Saccharomyces cerevisiae S288C: one gene and its partners. The gene in region 2 interacts genetically with the main gene of each other region. Each region holds a gene or a part of one and is shown on either strand. Other genes may lie near its edges.

Region 1 (3,076 bases), on a different chromosome or scaffold from region 2:
TTATTGGCTGCGTCCTCATCAGATGTGCTAGGGATGTGCCATGACCAAGCAAACACACTGTGCACTTCGTTTATTTTAACTTTCATATTTTTATAATCTGTATTGCCACTTTGCTTGTTAAACTCTCCCGATATTGTACAAAGTTTTTGAAGAATGCATTATTTTTTTATCTGCAGACACGGAAGATACAAAAGTTATCTCGGCAGCTTACCCTTTATATCGAATGCAGGCGTAGACAAAAGTGCGTTGCATAACTTACCAAGGTGAAGTGCATGGACCAGCAAAGGATAGAAGTTATTGTAAACATCGAAACCATAAACTTATATATGTATATATGAAGGCATTAAGCGTTTTATGTTTTCACAACCCTTTTAAGAGATGTCTTGGACAAAAAAGCTTCTTCGTTGGTGATAGCTTCTTTATTCCAACTCCGAAACGCCTTGTGCTAGGAAAACTACGCCTTTCCAACTACACTGCATTTCACGACCTAATCATTCACGACCTCTTTATTTATATATTTATTCTTAATTTTTTCTTCTTTCCTTTTTGTAACAATTTCAATTATTGGAAGGTTTTTCACGTTGCTCAACCGAGAATTTACCATCACTCCAGACTTGTAATGATTCTAAAAGTTTCCCTTGAGTGTGCAGTTTCTTGATTTCTTCATTACCTCCTCTTGATACTCCATTAACCAAAAGGTTTGGAACAGTTCCTCTACCGGTCACCAACTTGATATATTCTTGCAGCTCTTCCCCATGTCCATGTTTGTCAAGTTCTATAATATAGTAGTTTGGGATAAACTGATACTCATTTTCAAGCAGTTCCTTCATGCCCTTGCTATATGAACAGGTGCTTTTACTAAATATTATAATCGGAGACAAGTCTAGTATGAGGGAGTATTCTTTTTGAACATTAAAAGCTTTGGTTATTCGCGACCCTTTATCGTTTTTAATGGCCGACAAACTATCATCAACCGATGCTATGGGCTGTTGGAGTCCCACCTTCTGTTTTATTTCATTAATTTCTTCGTCTACTTCAGAGCTCCCCTTATTCGTGGTAGAAGTCGGCATAGCAGCATATTCCCTGGAAGATCCTCCAGCCATATTGTCCATATTAGTACTAAATGCTTTAGAAGTTTCCTCTTTTATCTCTACCGTCAAGAAGTTCGCATTTTGCGCTACGAAAAACACTAACAACAATAATAGCGTTGTAATGCTTAAAATTCTAGCATTTCTCTTATTGGAAGGTATCATAATAAAATTGTTTCTATATTAAACCGCTAGGTTGCTAAGGTTTCGTCTTTTCTATCTTACGATAATTTGCTTAAAAGTTCATTTAGAGAATAGATAGTGATCTTTCCCAGTATAATGTTTTCCCGATTTCGCGAACGCTCCGCCTCAGGCGCCCCGGGACGCGTCATGCGCGTTCCAGAAAGTTAACTAACTGCTAGTGCATTCAATTTCTCAAGGCGTAGTATTTGGGATCTATAAAGCCTTCGACATTAAGCACTATGCTTAAAAGCGAACAGCCTGCGCCACTACTTAAGAGCGAATCTTGTGTGGAGGGATGACTAGGTCCAAAGAGGGAGAAAAGGATCTTGCGGAAAAGTCAACAACACTAATCGGTAGCTGAGTCTGTCAGTGCATCCTTACTGGCTTACTATTTTCATTCATGCTGCAAGTAGATTATCCTCTAGTTAAATTAAACGCGGATGAACTACGCCATTAAATCCATCATAAGAAACTAATTACTACTTTTAGGAAATTAGCCAACTAAAAACTGCTGAAACGCCACATTTCACATAAAACCCCACGGAGCAGTAATGGGAGATCTTAAGCTCAGCCCAGTACATATGTCCATCAGCCTTGAATAGCCACGGTGAGTTCTCGAAGCTTCCTTCCACCTAGTCCAGAATATTTCTTGGTAAATGGCTCGAAGTTTTCGTATTAAACGATGCTATCAGCGGCATCGTGAAATATTGAAATATAAAAAGTATTTACGCAACCGAAAAGGATATTAAGACAAACCCATACAATAGCCCATAAACCAAGCAAATACACATCTCATGTCAGCTCAAGATTATTACGGAAACTCTGCCTCCAAACAAAGCGTACGTTAATTTTACAAGTTTTGCCTTTAGAAGATCACATCGTACTAACGAGCCCTTGTATTTTCATTACATCACTTTCGATTCAGTATTCTCGTCCTAGCGCTCCACCACCAGGATATGAAACGGCGTCTAGAGGTTACGCTCCATCGCAAAGCCAACAGAACTATTATCCACCTCAACAGCAGCAGCAGCAGTATCAGCAACAACCTCAATACTATCAGCAACAGCAGCCCCAATATTACCAACAACACCCACAGCAGCCCATTTATGTCCAACAACAACCGGCCAGTTCTGGAAATGAAGACTGTCTAGCGGGCTGTCTAGCGGGTTTATGTTTATGCTGTACTTTGGATATGCTGTTTTAGAGTATCTCCATATCTTGTGGGAGCAAACCCTTTCACACAAATCCACTATATAAAACAAAGCACAATTGCACCTCTGATCTTTTAATCTTAATTAAATAAGCGTGATTAAAGTGTTCATGCAAGTAGATAATATATAATGATGATAAGTTCGAAAATGCCCTTATAAAAATTAAACCGCGTGCTAGAAGTAAACCTCCTTCAACCTGCCTCTTGAACGAATAAGCTTCTTACAAGAATCTGCGGGACATAATTTGGGGCCATAATTATCCGGATGAGCCGAACCCTTTAGTTGAGCTAGTTTCTTTTTGGGCATCTTAGATTTTTTTTTTGCATTGTCAATCCTGGCGAAACACCTACCACAAAATGCATGACCACACGATGCAATAAACGTTCGTTTTGATAAATCTCTATCAAGCATTGATGGTCTGGCTAGGGTTTGGTAGGGGCAGTGGAATTTGTATTTTGACACTAACCCTTCAAATGAAACACCACGATCCTTTTGACTGATTCCAGTAAAATCATCCGGTATTCCGACCCCCAATTCTGCGCCACACAAGCAACAAACAGGAATATCCTCGAGTGTTTTTGCTAAATCGTCATC
Region 2 (7,872 bases):
TTAATAGGATTGTTTTGAAGTTCTAAGGTTGTATGCTTGTTAGAAACCGTGGTTTTGAGCTCAATTGAAATGCCACCGGGTAGACGTTTAGGATCTTTTAACCTAAGTAATAATGCGAACAATGGAAAATGGTTAATGAGTGCAATGACAGCTTCCGAGAATATTTCGATAGTTATTGTTAGCATTCTCAAAACTGTGTATGACATATAGAATGCCATCACTGTGGGAGTCAAGAACACTAGAATAATAAATAATAATGTTCCCAATAGCAATTGATCTAGTTGAAAATAGTTATGGTCAATCCTATTTCGTAAAACGTTCCTCTTTTTACCGCAGAACAGGTTAAAAAGACTAGCCATAATATTCAACTGACAATGGTACAGTTTACTGCTGATACGATAAAAAACATATATTGGAAAACTTAAAATTGCAAAAAAATCAATCGCTAGGGAAACAGCAAAAGAAAAGCCAACGAGAAACATCATATATATCGTTAACGTGAGCAAAGATGATAGGGTTTTCGGATCAATGAGTCTTTTTATGAATGTGGTATAAGAAAATTCTATCACCCAAAGAAATAATTCGCTCAAAAAGTTCGCAAGTTCTGCATTTAATTTGATGCCAAGGGGGTTATTTGCTAACGTTTCAGTTATTGTTTTTAATGAATCATATAAAAAAAACTTCAATACTCTATGGGATGCCGACACCAAGAAATCTCGATTCTCAATAAGTATGGCCCCCAATATTAAACCAAATGAAATGTCATTAATAATAAGCCAAATTGTATTATACAATAAAATATAATCGGGATAGAATTTAGAAGGCATATATGAATGTGAGAATTGACTATTAGAATTATCTTTTTCCACCATAGAGCCAACATTCTGTATGTTATCCTTCTTATTAATACGCTCATACTGTACTGGGAAATAGCAAATTTGTTGACAACGAAGATCGATTTGCTGGACAAATGCCGAGTAATTTACCAACTGAAAGTGCGAATAATTTAATAACGAGGATACGAGACTAGCAATAGAGCAGATCACAAAAGTCAAATAAAAACCAATTTTTGCGACCATTTTATAAATACAAGTAGATGAACACCAAGCTGCGACACTATTAAGCATAGTACCCCTCAAATTTTCCTGTGATGTTTGAATAAACGGGTAAAGCTCATTTAATGCTTTACAATATGCGGGGAATAGATTAATGATGTTCAAAGTTTCACTCAATTTCTTATTATCTCTCTTGTATCTTGGATGTTGCTCTAATTTAGAATAGTTCAGAGTTTCACCCACACTACTATGAAGACCAACTTCTTTTTCTGGTATGATGAGCGAGATGGGATCAGAAGAATAGAATTGCATAAATTTCAGCTTGGGTATTCTAAAATGGACATTACAGGGATCAGCAACTTTGTAGTTCCAACCCTCCGCTCCATTGTTCTTAGTAGCTACCACTGAATAAGGGGGCCGTATGCTTACTTCTTCTAAATACTGAGGTTCGCAAACACCTAAGACAACAAAATGCGTCTTCTCAAATGAAATTGCCAAAGCTACCTGAGGTCCTTGAGCTGCGGAATTCTCGAACAAGGATTCGTATGGCCAGAAAATGTAATTTGGCATGTCATTTAACTGTATAAAACCGCCCCTGAATTCGAAGGTTCCTGTTCACAGAGGAATTTTCATTCTTTTTGGTATTATGTTCTGGTAGGTTTTTTTCATATTCTACATTTCGGCATTCTCACTGAAAATAAATATAGATGAGATAGAAGATCATGAATCAATGGTTGGTGACAAGCTAACATAAGGAAAATCAAAATACACGGCATTACTAAATAGAATATATTGTTAGTACTATGCAGGGGAGAAAAAGGACGCTTACGGAACCATTTGAGCCAAATACCAATCCATTTGGGGACAATGCAGCAGTAATGACGGAAAATGTTGAGGATAACAGCGAAACAGATGGTAACCGTCTAGAATCAAAACCACAAGCTTTGGTCCCACCAGCTTTAAATATCGTGCCACCAGAGAGCAGCATCCACAGTACTGAAGAAAAAAAAGGTGACGAGTACAATGGAAATGATAAAGATAGCTCCTTAATCTCCAACATATTTCGTACTCGTGTCGGAAGGAGTAGTCATGAAAACTTGAGCAGGCCTAAACTCTCACTTAAAACAGCATCATTTGGTGCCGCTGAATCTTCCCGGCGTAATGTTTCACCCTCTACAAAATCTGCCAAGTCTAGTTCGCAGTATATTGATTTAAATGATGAAAGGCTACGCAGGCGTAGCTTCAGTAGTTATAGCCGATCATCTAGTAGGCGTGTTTCTAATTCACCAAGCTCAACGGATAGGCCTCCACGGTCGGCAAAGGTTTTATCGCTAATTGCCGCTGATGATATGGATGATTTTGAAGATTTGCAAAAGGGATTTAAAAGTGCAATAGACGAAGAGGGCCTGACATGGCTACCCCAATTAAAATCAGAAAAAAGCCGTCCTGTATCAGACGTTGGAGAAGATAGAGGAGAAGGAGAACAAGAATCTATACCTGACGTTCATACACCCAATGTAGGAGCAAGCGCTACTCCAGGATCAATTCATCTAACACCCGAACCCGCGCAGAATGGTTCGGTATCTGAGGGTCTAGAAGGCTCTATTAATAATTCAAGAAAGAAACCCAGTCCAAAGTTTTTTCATCATTTATCACCGCAAAAAGAAGATAAAGACCAAACAGAAGTTATTGAGTATGCTGAAGACATTCTAGATTTTGAAACCCTTCAAAGAAAACTGGAATCAAGGCCCTTTGTGCTTTATGGACATTCTCTTGGGGTTTTCTCGCCTACGAATCCGCTAAGAATAAAAATTGCTCGTTTTTTGTTGCATAGGCGGTATTCGTTACTTTACAACACTTTGTTAACATTTTATGCCATTCTCCTGGCGATAAGGACATATAACCCTCACAATGTGGTTTTTTTATACCGTTTCTCTAACTGGACCGACTATTTCATTTTTATTTTATCAGCTTGCTTTACAGGCAATGATATTGCTAAAATAATTGCGTTTGGATTTTGGGACGATTCTGAAATGTTTAAAGCCTATGGACGTGAGTATAAATCAATCTTACAGAGATCTGGAATTATGAAACTATACATATATCTGAGAGAAAAGTATGGTAGAAAGCTAATAGATTTCATTATTCCATTTAGGATCATATCGCCGGGAGAAGAGACAAAATATCAACGAAGTTCGTTGAGTACTTCCCTGACGAAACCTTATGGGGCAAAGGAAAATCAGAGGCCTTTTGGCACCCCAAGAGCCTTTGCGAGATCATCGTGGAATAGAATAGATCTGGTATCTTCTGTCAGTTTTTGGCTAGGTATGTTTTTATCCATAAAAAGTTATGATACAAAAACAGGCATAAGAATATTCAAGCCCCTTGCTATATTAAGGATTCTTCGACTTGTAAACGTGGATACTGGTATGCCCTCAATTCTAAGGGGATTGAAATATGGTATCCCACAGTTGGTAAATGTTAGTTCAATGCTAGTTTACTTTTGGATTTTCTTTGGGATTTTGGGAGTACAGATTTTTCAGGGCTCTTTTCGAAGACAATGTGTATGGTTTAACCCTGAAGATCCTACCGATACTTACCAGTACGATATGCAATTCTGTGGTGGTTACCTAGATCCAGTAACAAAACGAAAACAAAATTATATCTATGAAGACGGATCAGAAGGTTCTGTTTCAAAAGGCTTTCTTTGCCCACAATATTCGAAATGTGTTTCCAATGCCAACCCCTACAACGGCAGAATTAGTTTTGATAATATTGTTAATTCCATGGAGCTCGTTTTTGTCATTATGAGTGCGAATACTTTTACTGACTTAATGTACTATACGATGGATTCGGATGAAATGGCTGCCTGTTTGTTTTTTATTGTTTGCATCTTTGTTTTAACTATCTGGCTGCTAAATCTACTCATTGCAGTGTTGGTATCATCTTTTGAAATAGCCAATGAGGAGTACAAAAAGAAAAAGTTCATATATGGTTCTAGAAAGACAGGTTATGTTGCTCGCATAGTAACAGGCTACTGGAAATATTTTAAGCTTAAGGCGAATCAGACAAAATTCCCAAATTGGTCCCAAAAAGGACTAGCTATTTATTCCCACGTTGAGTTTATCTTTGTCATACTTATTATTTGCGATATAGGTATGCGCGCCTCTGTTAAAGTATCGACTTCGGCAAACTGTAACAATATCCTTCTAAAAACTGACAGGGGAATTTCGATTGTTCTCTTCATCGAATCACTGGCAAGGTTAGTATTATATCTGCCCAATATGTGGAAGTTTTTAACAAAACCTAGTTACGTTTACGATTTTATTATATCAATTATTACTCTGGTTATTAGTTGCCTGGCTGTTGAAGGGGTTCTAGGACATATGTATGCCTGGCTATCCATATTCCACATATCCAGATTTTACAGGGTGATTATTTCTTTCAATTTAACAAAAAAACTATGGAAACAAATATTGAGTAATGGTGTTATGATTTGGAACTTATCGTCTTTTTACTTTTTTTTCACCTTTTTGGTTGCTATAATCATGGCTGTGTATTTCGAAGGCGTGATTCCTCCAGAAGAAATGGCAGACCAGCCATTTGGAATGTATTCACTACCGAATTCATTTCTTTCTTTGTTTATAATAGGTTCAACTGAAAATTGGACGGATATCCTATATGCCCTCCAAAAACACTCACCAAACATCTCCTCAACTTTTTTTTGCTCAGTATTTTTTATTATATGGTTTCTACTATCCAACTCAGTGATCTTGAACATTTTCATTGCCCTAATATCAGAAAGCATGGAAGTGAAAGAAGAAGAAAAACGACCACAGCAAATTAAGCATTATCTTAAGTTCGTCTATCCTCAGAAAATACAAGAATATACACACGCTAGTTTGGTTGCGAGAATTCGTAAAAAATTCTTTGGAGGTCATAGGAACGAAGATACAAGAGATTTTAAGCAATTTCTTATGAGAGGAACCGCGATAATGAACATAGCGCAGAATATGGGGGAGTTGGCCGATGAATTCAAAGAGCCACCTTCAGAAAACCTATTTAAAAAGGGCTTATCAAAGCTCACAATTGGGGTTCCGTCACTAAAAAGGCTGAGAATGTTTGCTAATAATCCATTTTATAAAAATAGTGACGTTGTGTTTACAGAAACGAACGATATAAATGGGAGGACGTATATCTTGGAGTTGAATGAGTACGAGGATGAGAAGCTAGATTATTTAAAAAAGTACCCTTTATTCAATTACTCATATTATTTCTTTTCTCCTCAGCATAGATTTCGAAGGTTCTGTCAACGCTTGGTACCACCAAGCACTGGAAAAAGGACTGATGGATCACGATTTTTCGAGGATAGCACTGATCTATACAATAAAAGGAGCTATTTTCATCATATTGAAAGAGATGTATTTGTATTCATTTTCGCACTTGCCACCATTTTACTAATTGTTTGCTCATGTTATGTTACGCCTCTATATCGTATGCATCACAAGATGGGAACTTGGAATTGGTCCTCGGCGTTAGATTGCGCCTTCATTGGTGCCTTCTCAATTGAATTTATCGTGAAAACAGTAGCTGACGGATTTATATATTCTCCAAATGCTTACCTGAGGAATCCATGGAACTTTATTGATTTTTGTGTCCTAATCTCAATGTGGATTAATTTAATTGCATACCTAAAAAACAATGGAAATTTGTCTAGGATTTTCAAGGGATTGACAGCCCTGAGGGCCCTCAGATGCCTCACGATCAGTAACACAGCTCGTCAAACATTTAACCTAGTTATGTTTGATGGTTTAAATAAAATTTTTGAAGCTGGGTTGATTTCACTCAGTTTGCTATTTCCATTTACAGTTTGGGGCTTAAGCATTTTTAAAGGCCGTTTAGGTACTTGCAATGACGGAAGTTTGGGCCGTGCAGATTGTTACAATGAATATTCAAATTCCGTTTTTCAATGGGATATCATGTCTCCAAGGGTTTACCAGCAACCATATCTTCATTTGGACTCTTTCGCAAGCGCTTTTAGTTCATTATACCAAATCATTTCTTTGGAAGGATGGGTTGATTTGTTGGAAAATATGATGAATAGTTCAGGAATAGGTACACCCGCTACGGTAATGGGTTCAGCAGGGAATGCTTTATTCCTCGTTCTGTTTAATTTTTTAAGTATGGTTTTCATCCTGAACTTGTTTGTTTCATTCATTGTTAACAACCAAGCAAGGACAACAGGAAGCGCTTACTTTACCATTGAGGAAAAGGCGTGGCTGGAATCCCAGAAACTTTTATCTCAGGCCAAGCCAAAAGCTATCCCAAATTTAATTGAGTTATCAAGAGTTAGGCAATTTTTCTATCAACTTGCAGTGGAGAAAAAAAATTTCTACTACGCATCGTTTCTTCAGGTAGTACTTTATTTGCACATAATCATGCTCCTGAGTCGAAGCTACAATCCAGGAAACTTGATAGGTTATCAAGGTGTTTATTTTATGTTTTCCACTAGTGTTTTTTTAATTCAAGAGGCACTTCACATGTGCGGTGAAGGACCAAGATTATATTTTAGGCAAAAATGGAACAGCATACGACTCAGTATCATAATTATAGCCTTTATTATGAACGCTGTAGCATTCCACGTTCCAGCCTCTCACTATTGGTTCCACAATATAAAGGGGTTTTTCCTGTTAGTGATATTTTTGTTTATTATTCCTCAAAATGACACACTAACTGAACTATTAGAAACCGCAATGGCAAGCTTACCGCCTATTCTATCATTGACCTACACTTGGGGGGTTTTATTTTTAGTATATGCTATTGCTTTGAATCAAATCTTCGGCCTAACAAGGTTAGGGAGTAATACGACCGATAACATAAATTTTAGAACTGTAATCAAATCCATGATTGTTCTGTTTAGATGTAGTTTTGGTGAGGGCTGGAATTATATCATGGCCGACCTAACTGTGTCAGAACCTTATTGCTCCTCTGATGATAATTCAACCTATACGGACTGTGGATCAGAGACATATGCCTATTTGTTATTAATGTCGTGGAATATTATTTCCATGTATATTTTTGTGAATATGTTTGTTTCGTTGATTATTGGTAATTTCAGTTATGTTTACCGTAGCGGTGGATCTCGCTCTGGCATCAACAGATCGGAGATAAAAAAATACATTGAAGCTTGGTCCAAATTTGATACTGATGGAACTGGCGAGCTTGAGCTGTCCTACCTCCCAAGAATAATGCATTCATTTGACGGTCCTCTTTCATTTAAAATTTGGGAAGGTAGATTGACAATAAAAAGTCTAGTCGAGAACTACATGGAGGTTAACCCAGATGATCCATATGACGTCAAAATAGACCTGATCGGACTGAACAAAGAGCTGAATACGATTGATAAAGCAAAGATCATACAGAGGAAGTTACAGTACAGAAGATTTGTACAAAGCATTCACTATACGAATGCTTATAATGGATGTATCAGATTCTCGGATTTGTTATTACAAATACCTCTCTATACAGCTTATTCTGCAAGGGAATGTCTAGGTATTGATCAATATGTCCATCATCTATATATCCTGGGTAAAGTGGACAAGTACTTAGAAAATCAAAGAAACTTCGATGTATTGGAGATGGTGGTAACAAGATGGAAATTTCATTGCAGGATGAAACGTACCATTGAACCCGAATGGGATGTTAAAGATCCCACAGTATCGTCTCACATTTCGAATATAAACGTAAATCTGGAACCTGCTCCAGGAATTTTAGAAAGAGAACCTATTGCGACACCTAGAATGGACTACGGTGTTAA
Region 3 (4,270 bases), on a different chromosome or scaffold from region 2:
AATAGTGCAAGTAACGAACGTGAGTCGAACAATCAAAGAGTGGATTTGAACGCTGCTAATGATGGGACCAGCGCAAACAGTGCTTGCAGTTGTTAGAGAGGGGAAAATAAATATATATAAAAAAAAAGTCTGGGCAAATTGAGATAAATAGATCTTCAAAACGGGAAAGATGAAAGTCATAATTTATCGTACCTAGAAAGGAGAGGGAGTTTTCATTTTTTACCGTAATCGTTGTTTTTCTTTTCTTCTTATAATTTGTAAATTTTTTAACTGCATTAGATCATTATATTATCTTTCAAAACGCCAGTCGTTTTTATTAGACCTTTATATACGTTTCAAAGTGGTTTGTACACGTTAGTTTAGTTAAACTTTTGTTTTCATGTAGACCAAAATATAAACTTATTTTATGCCGAAAATCGGGAGATGGATTAGTTAATATTGTAAATAATGATAAATTAAAGGAACATTAAATTTACAAAGTTGCAATGAGGAGCAATATATATATATATATATGGATTTCTGAGAAATTAATTAAGCAGTATTTGAACACATGTCGTTTACTCTTTCTTATCCTTTATGTCTAATTTTTCGAGTAGATCGGTAATTACAGCTGTCAAGTTTTCCACTTTCTTAGTGAGCTCTTTGACTTCATCTTTATCTTCACCAGCATCATCTTCAGTGTCATCGTTATCATACTGTTCGAAGGAGGGACTGCATTTTTTAACGTTTTTATACCACTTCTTAGGGACTTTAAAATGGACATCTTCCTGCTCTGCTGTTCTTTGCAGTTTTAGCGAACGGGAATTCTTTAACTGGGTGGCTCTCATGCCAGAATTTCGGTTATCAGAAAACAAACCGTCATCATCATCCAAGTAGCCATCTGTCAAATCCCATGGAGTATCATATTCATTGGCATCATCGTTTAACCTTTTCATCCTGTTATATTTTATCCTTCTAGCCTCCCGAGTTTCTTTAACAGAAATAAGCAACAAAAATGGGCTGTACACTATTGTCATTACAGTATAGCTCAAATCTTTAGCACGCTTCGGTGGAAGAATACGAAAGATAGGTGTCATGAACACTTCAATTAAGTTCAATGGAGAAACATAGACATCTTCATCAGGTGCTCTAATGTATCTCAACGTCTTTTGTGACATCAAAGCCATGTACTCGTCATCTGCATTGTCAATAACTTTTTGGTACGCAGTCGAATACAAAGCAATTAATATATTCAAAAGGATAACCGAAACAATAAAATAGTAACCATAATACAGTATTGCCGCATATGGGGGAGCGAATTCTTCGAAAACATCAAAACTACCAAGACCCAAAACGGTGATTGTTAAATTACCCAGGATGGGTCCGGTGATATCTCTCTTACCATCTGCGGAATCCAAACCTAAGAAACCTTGAGTGAATCCTATCATTATTAAGAATAGAAGGAAGAAAAATACAATGGATTCTTTCATCATATGTTTTAGGATAACCAACATAATCCCAATAAACCTTTGTGATTCAAGGTATAGTAGGAGTCTCGACCACACAAATGGTGCTGCACAGGATAAGACTCTATATGATATTTTATCCCAATCTTCTGAAGAGTATTTTGCATTAAGGGGCGTTACGCTCATTGCACGGAACCCCATAGCAAACGTGATTATCAAATATGTGGTATCATTAAATAAATTCCAAAACGATAGGTGCGCATAACCAATATAATAAAGCTTAGTGAGCTCATCCAAGATGAAACCAGTATTGAAAACATAAAATATGCTTTCTAACAAATCGAAAGATTGGACTCTCTCAGAGTCCTTACCATTAACCACCAAGGTATAAAGCCCTAGAAACAAAAATGAGAAGATCATCTGCAAATAATTTTGGTATACAGGCGCCTTTAATCTTACGGGGTTGAAATGAGAGATCAATGACACTTCCGCCAGTGAATCGTCCTTGATAAAAGTTGTGGGATCCAAGCCATTTTGGACTATCCATCCTCTCCATATCCATTTTAAACAACGCTGAAATCCACTCGATCCTATCACTGTAGTACAGTGCATATCTGTGGCAAGTTCCAAGGCATTCAACGGTTCTTGATCTTCATCGTTCTCGTTGATTACGTACCGACGCAGCAGTAACTGCATGAAAAGAAACTGCAGGTCTCTTGTCTCCTCCCTTTCAATTAACAATTTACATAACTGTTGTGAGGCTAAATTTCTGGTTTCGTAAAGTTTGGCATTGTGCACTTCCATAGTGGCCAATATGGAATACCACTCACAAACTTTAAGAAGTGAAAAAATAATGACAGATTGATATTTTCTTTTGTTGGCCTTGTCTTTAGGGTTCCCGCCACATGCTTCATAAGCCAGCTTCACAACTTTTGGAGATAAAATCTCAGAATGGTCACAAACAATATCATTGGGATCGTAAACAATAGGTACGACCTTATCAATTAAGTATTTCAAATTTAACGTAACCCTGAGAATCTGTCTCGGAGTGGGGGCCTCAAATCCAAGAGATCCATTGTTTTCCGGCATGCACTGTTCGTTAGAAATTGGCAAGTGCAAGTCGCCGTTGGCTGATACCATAATGCTCCTGTTCTAGTAATATTATATTTTATAACTGAATTCTATTGCCTTACCAAGCCACTGATTAATGACAATTGCATTGAATAGGCTCTAGCTGATCCTCGAAGGATACTGACTAAATTTACCACATATTTTCAGCTCTTATGAGATAACTCCGACATAGCAACAGTGTAGGAGAAAAATTAAAAAATTAACGACCCCAGTGAGGGTTGAACTCACGATCTTGCGATTAACAGTCGCACGCCTTAACCAACTTGGCCATGGAGTCTAACTTTGTTGTTTTAGAGAACGAATGAAGAACTTATTATGACGATAAAAATATGTCAAGAGAGGCCCAAGAATGTATAAATCATTGTAAAACCAAGCAAGTAACAAAAATGGTCATGTGACAAGAGGTGGTGACATAAAAATAACCAAAGGACTAATAACTAGAGAAACAATAAAATGAGAAACTAAAAAAAGAAATAAAGCATTGAAAATCTCATTAGACTAGTTGGCTCATTTCCATGGCAAAATGTACAATTGTATCTCAGTAACGTTATACTCGCTCCCTTTTTAGGCCAATTTTATCCATTATTCTCATTCTAAAATAGCGGACATAACGAGAAAACGATTTACGTTAGAAGTGATAACAACTTTGGCGACCGGAATGCTGCATGAAAAATTATAACAAAAGGCCCCTCAAAAAGCTAAGGGACAGGGATGTTGCTGCAATTGGAATAGTATAATCGGCCGTCAAAATTATCAACTAATAGCATTGGCTACTCCAATTTGGACTTACTGGCTGGTAATTGACTTGTATAGCATTGTCTTAGCTTATTATTTTTTTTTTGCTGAAGAATAAGTAGGATAATTGAAGAAGAATAGCTAAGATAAAAAAAGATAGCTAGTGCATTCTGAAAACTTCAATTGCGTGGTACATACAATATGGCCAAAGAAGATACTGGGGTAACAGCACCAAAGAAGCCCGAAACAGCCCAAGTAGCTAACATAAATGGGATAGATAAGTTAGAACCTCCAAAGACGAAAGAGGAAACCGAATCCAGTAAAAGCGTGTCATCTGAGAAGGCGGCACATGCTAGTGATGAAAGCTTCAAGAGAAGTATCCATGAAGCTTCTTATGTCGGCTGGAAACAGATTGGTGGCTGGGAAGACAAAGACGAATTAACTTTAGATGATGAATTGATGGATATGACTAGAGAAACCTTCTTAGATAACATCATACCGGACAGCCTTTACGGTGACTGGTATCATTCGGTAGCCATTTTCTTTATCGGAGGCGTGGCATCATTTGCACTTGGTCATTATAAGTTTTCAATGGGGTCGGCCTTTTTTGTCATCGTTATCACTTCATTGTTGTATAGAACCTCTGCTAAAAAATACAGAGGTTCCATAAGAGAGTTAGTCCAGAAAGAGTTCACGGTGCAGAAAGTGGAAAACGACTATGAATCCCTAGAATGGTTGAATGCCTTTTTGGATAAGTACTGGCCCATTTTAGAACCTTCCGTTAGTCAATTAATCGTTCAGCAAGCTAATGAACAAATGGCTACTAATGAGGCGATTCCCAAATTTATTACTCAACTATGGATCGATGAGTTGACACTTGGTGTTAAACCCCCCAGAGTTGATTTGGTGAAGACTTTCCAAAACACTGCATCCGATGTTGTTGTGATGGACTGGGGTAT

What was found.
Region 1: of CCH1 (region 2) and GRX6, changing one suppresses a phenotype caused by changing the other (phenotypic suppression), as found in Saccharomyces cerevisiae (one study listed by BioGRID).
Region 3: of CCH1 (region 2) and YVC1, changing one enhances a phenotype caused by changing the other (phenotypic enhancement), as found in Saccharomyces cerevisiae (one study listed by BioGRID).

What each region holds. Positions count from the first base shown.
Region 1 is NC_001136.10:430,507-433,582, reverse strand, and holds GRX6 (glutathione-disulfide reductase GRX6), read right to left. Parts: upstream 1,254-3,076; coding exon 558-1,253; downstream 1-557. Other genes in the region: APC11 (anaphase promoting complex subunit 11), read right to left, coding at 1-86; YDL009C (uncharacterized protein), read left to right, coding at 335-658; YDL012C (uncharacterized protein), read left to right, coding at 2,066-2,110, 2,197-2,475; SUMO-targeted ubiquitin ligase complex subunit SLX5, read right to left, coding at 2,657-3,076.
Region 2 is NC_001139.9:922,838-930,709, forward strand, and holds the start of CCH1 (calcium channel protein CCH1), read left to right. Parts: upstream 1-1,858; coding exon 1,859-7,872. Other genes in the region: GPI1 (phosphatidylinositol N-acetylglucosaminyltransferase), read right to left, coding at 1-1,625. UniProt on the Saccharomyces cerevisiae protein: Voltage-gated, high-affinity calcium channel that functions together with MID1 to mediate calcium entry into cells. Required during conditions of environmental stress.
Region 3 is NC_001147.6:486,022-490,291, reverse strand, and holds YVC1 (Yvc1p), read right to left. Parts: upstream 2,586-4,270; coding exon 558-2,585; downstream 1-557. Other genes in the region: Rab family GTPase VPS21, read left to right, coding at 1-96; TCB1 (tricalbin), read left to right, coding at 3,513-4,270. UniProt on the Saccharomyces cerevisiae protein: Required for release of calcium ions from the vacuole in response to hyperosmotic shock.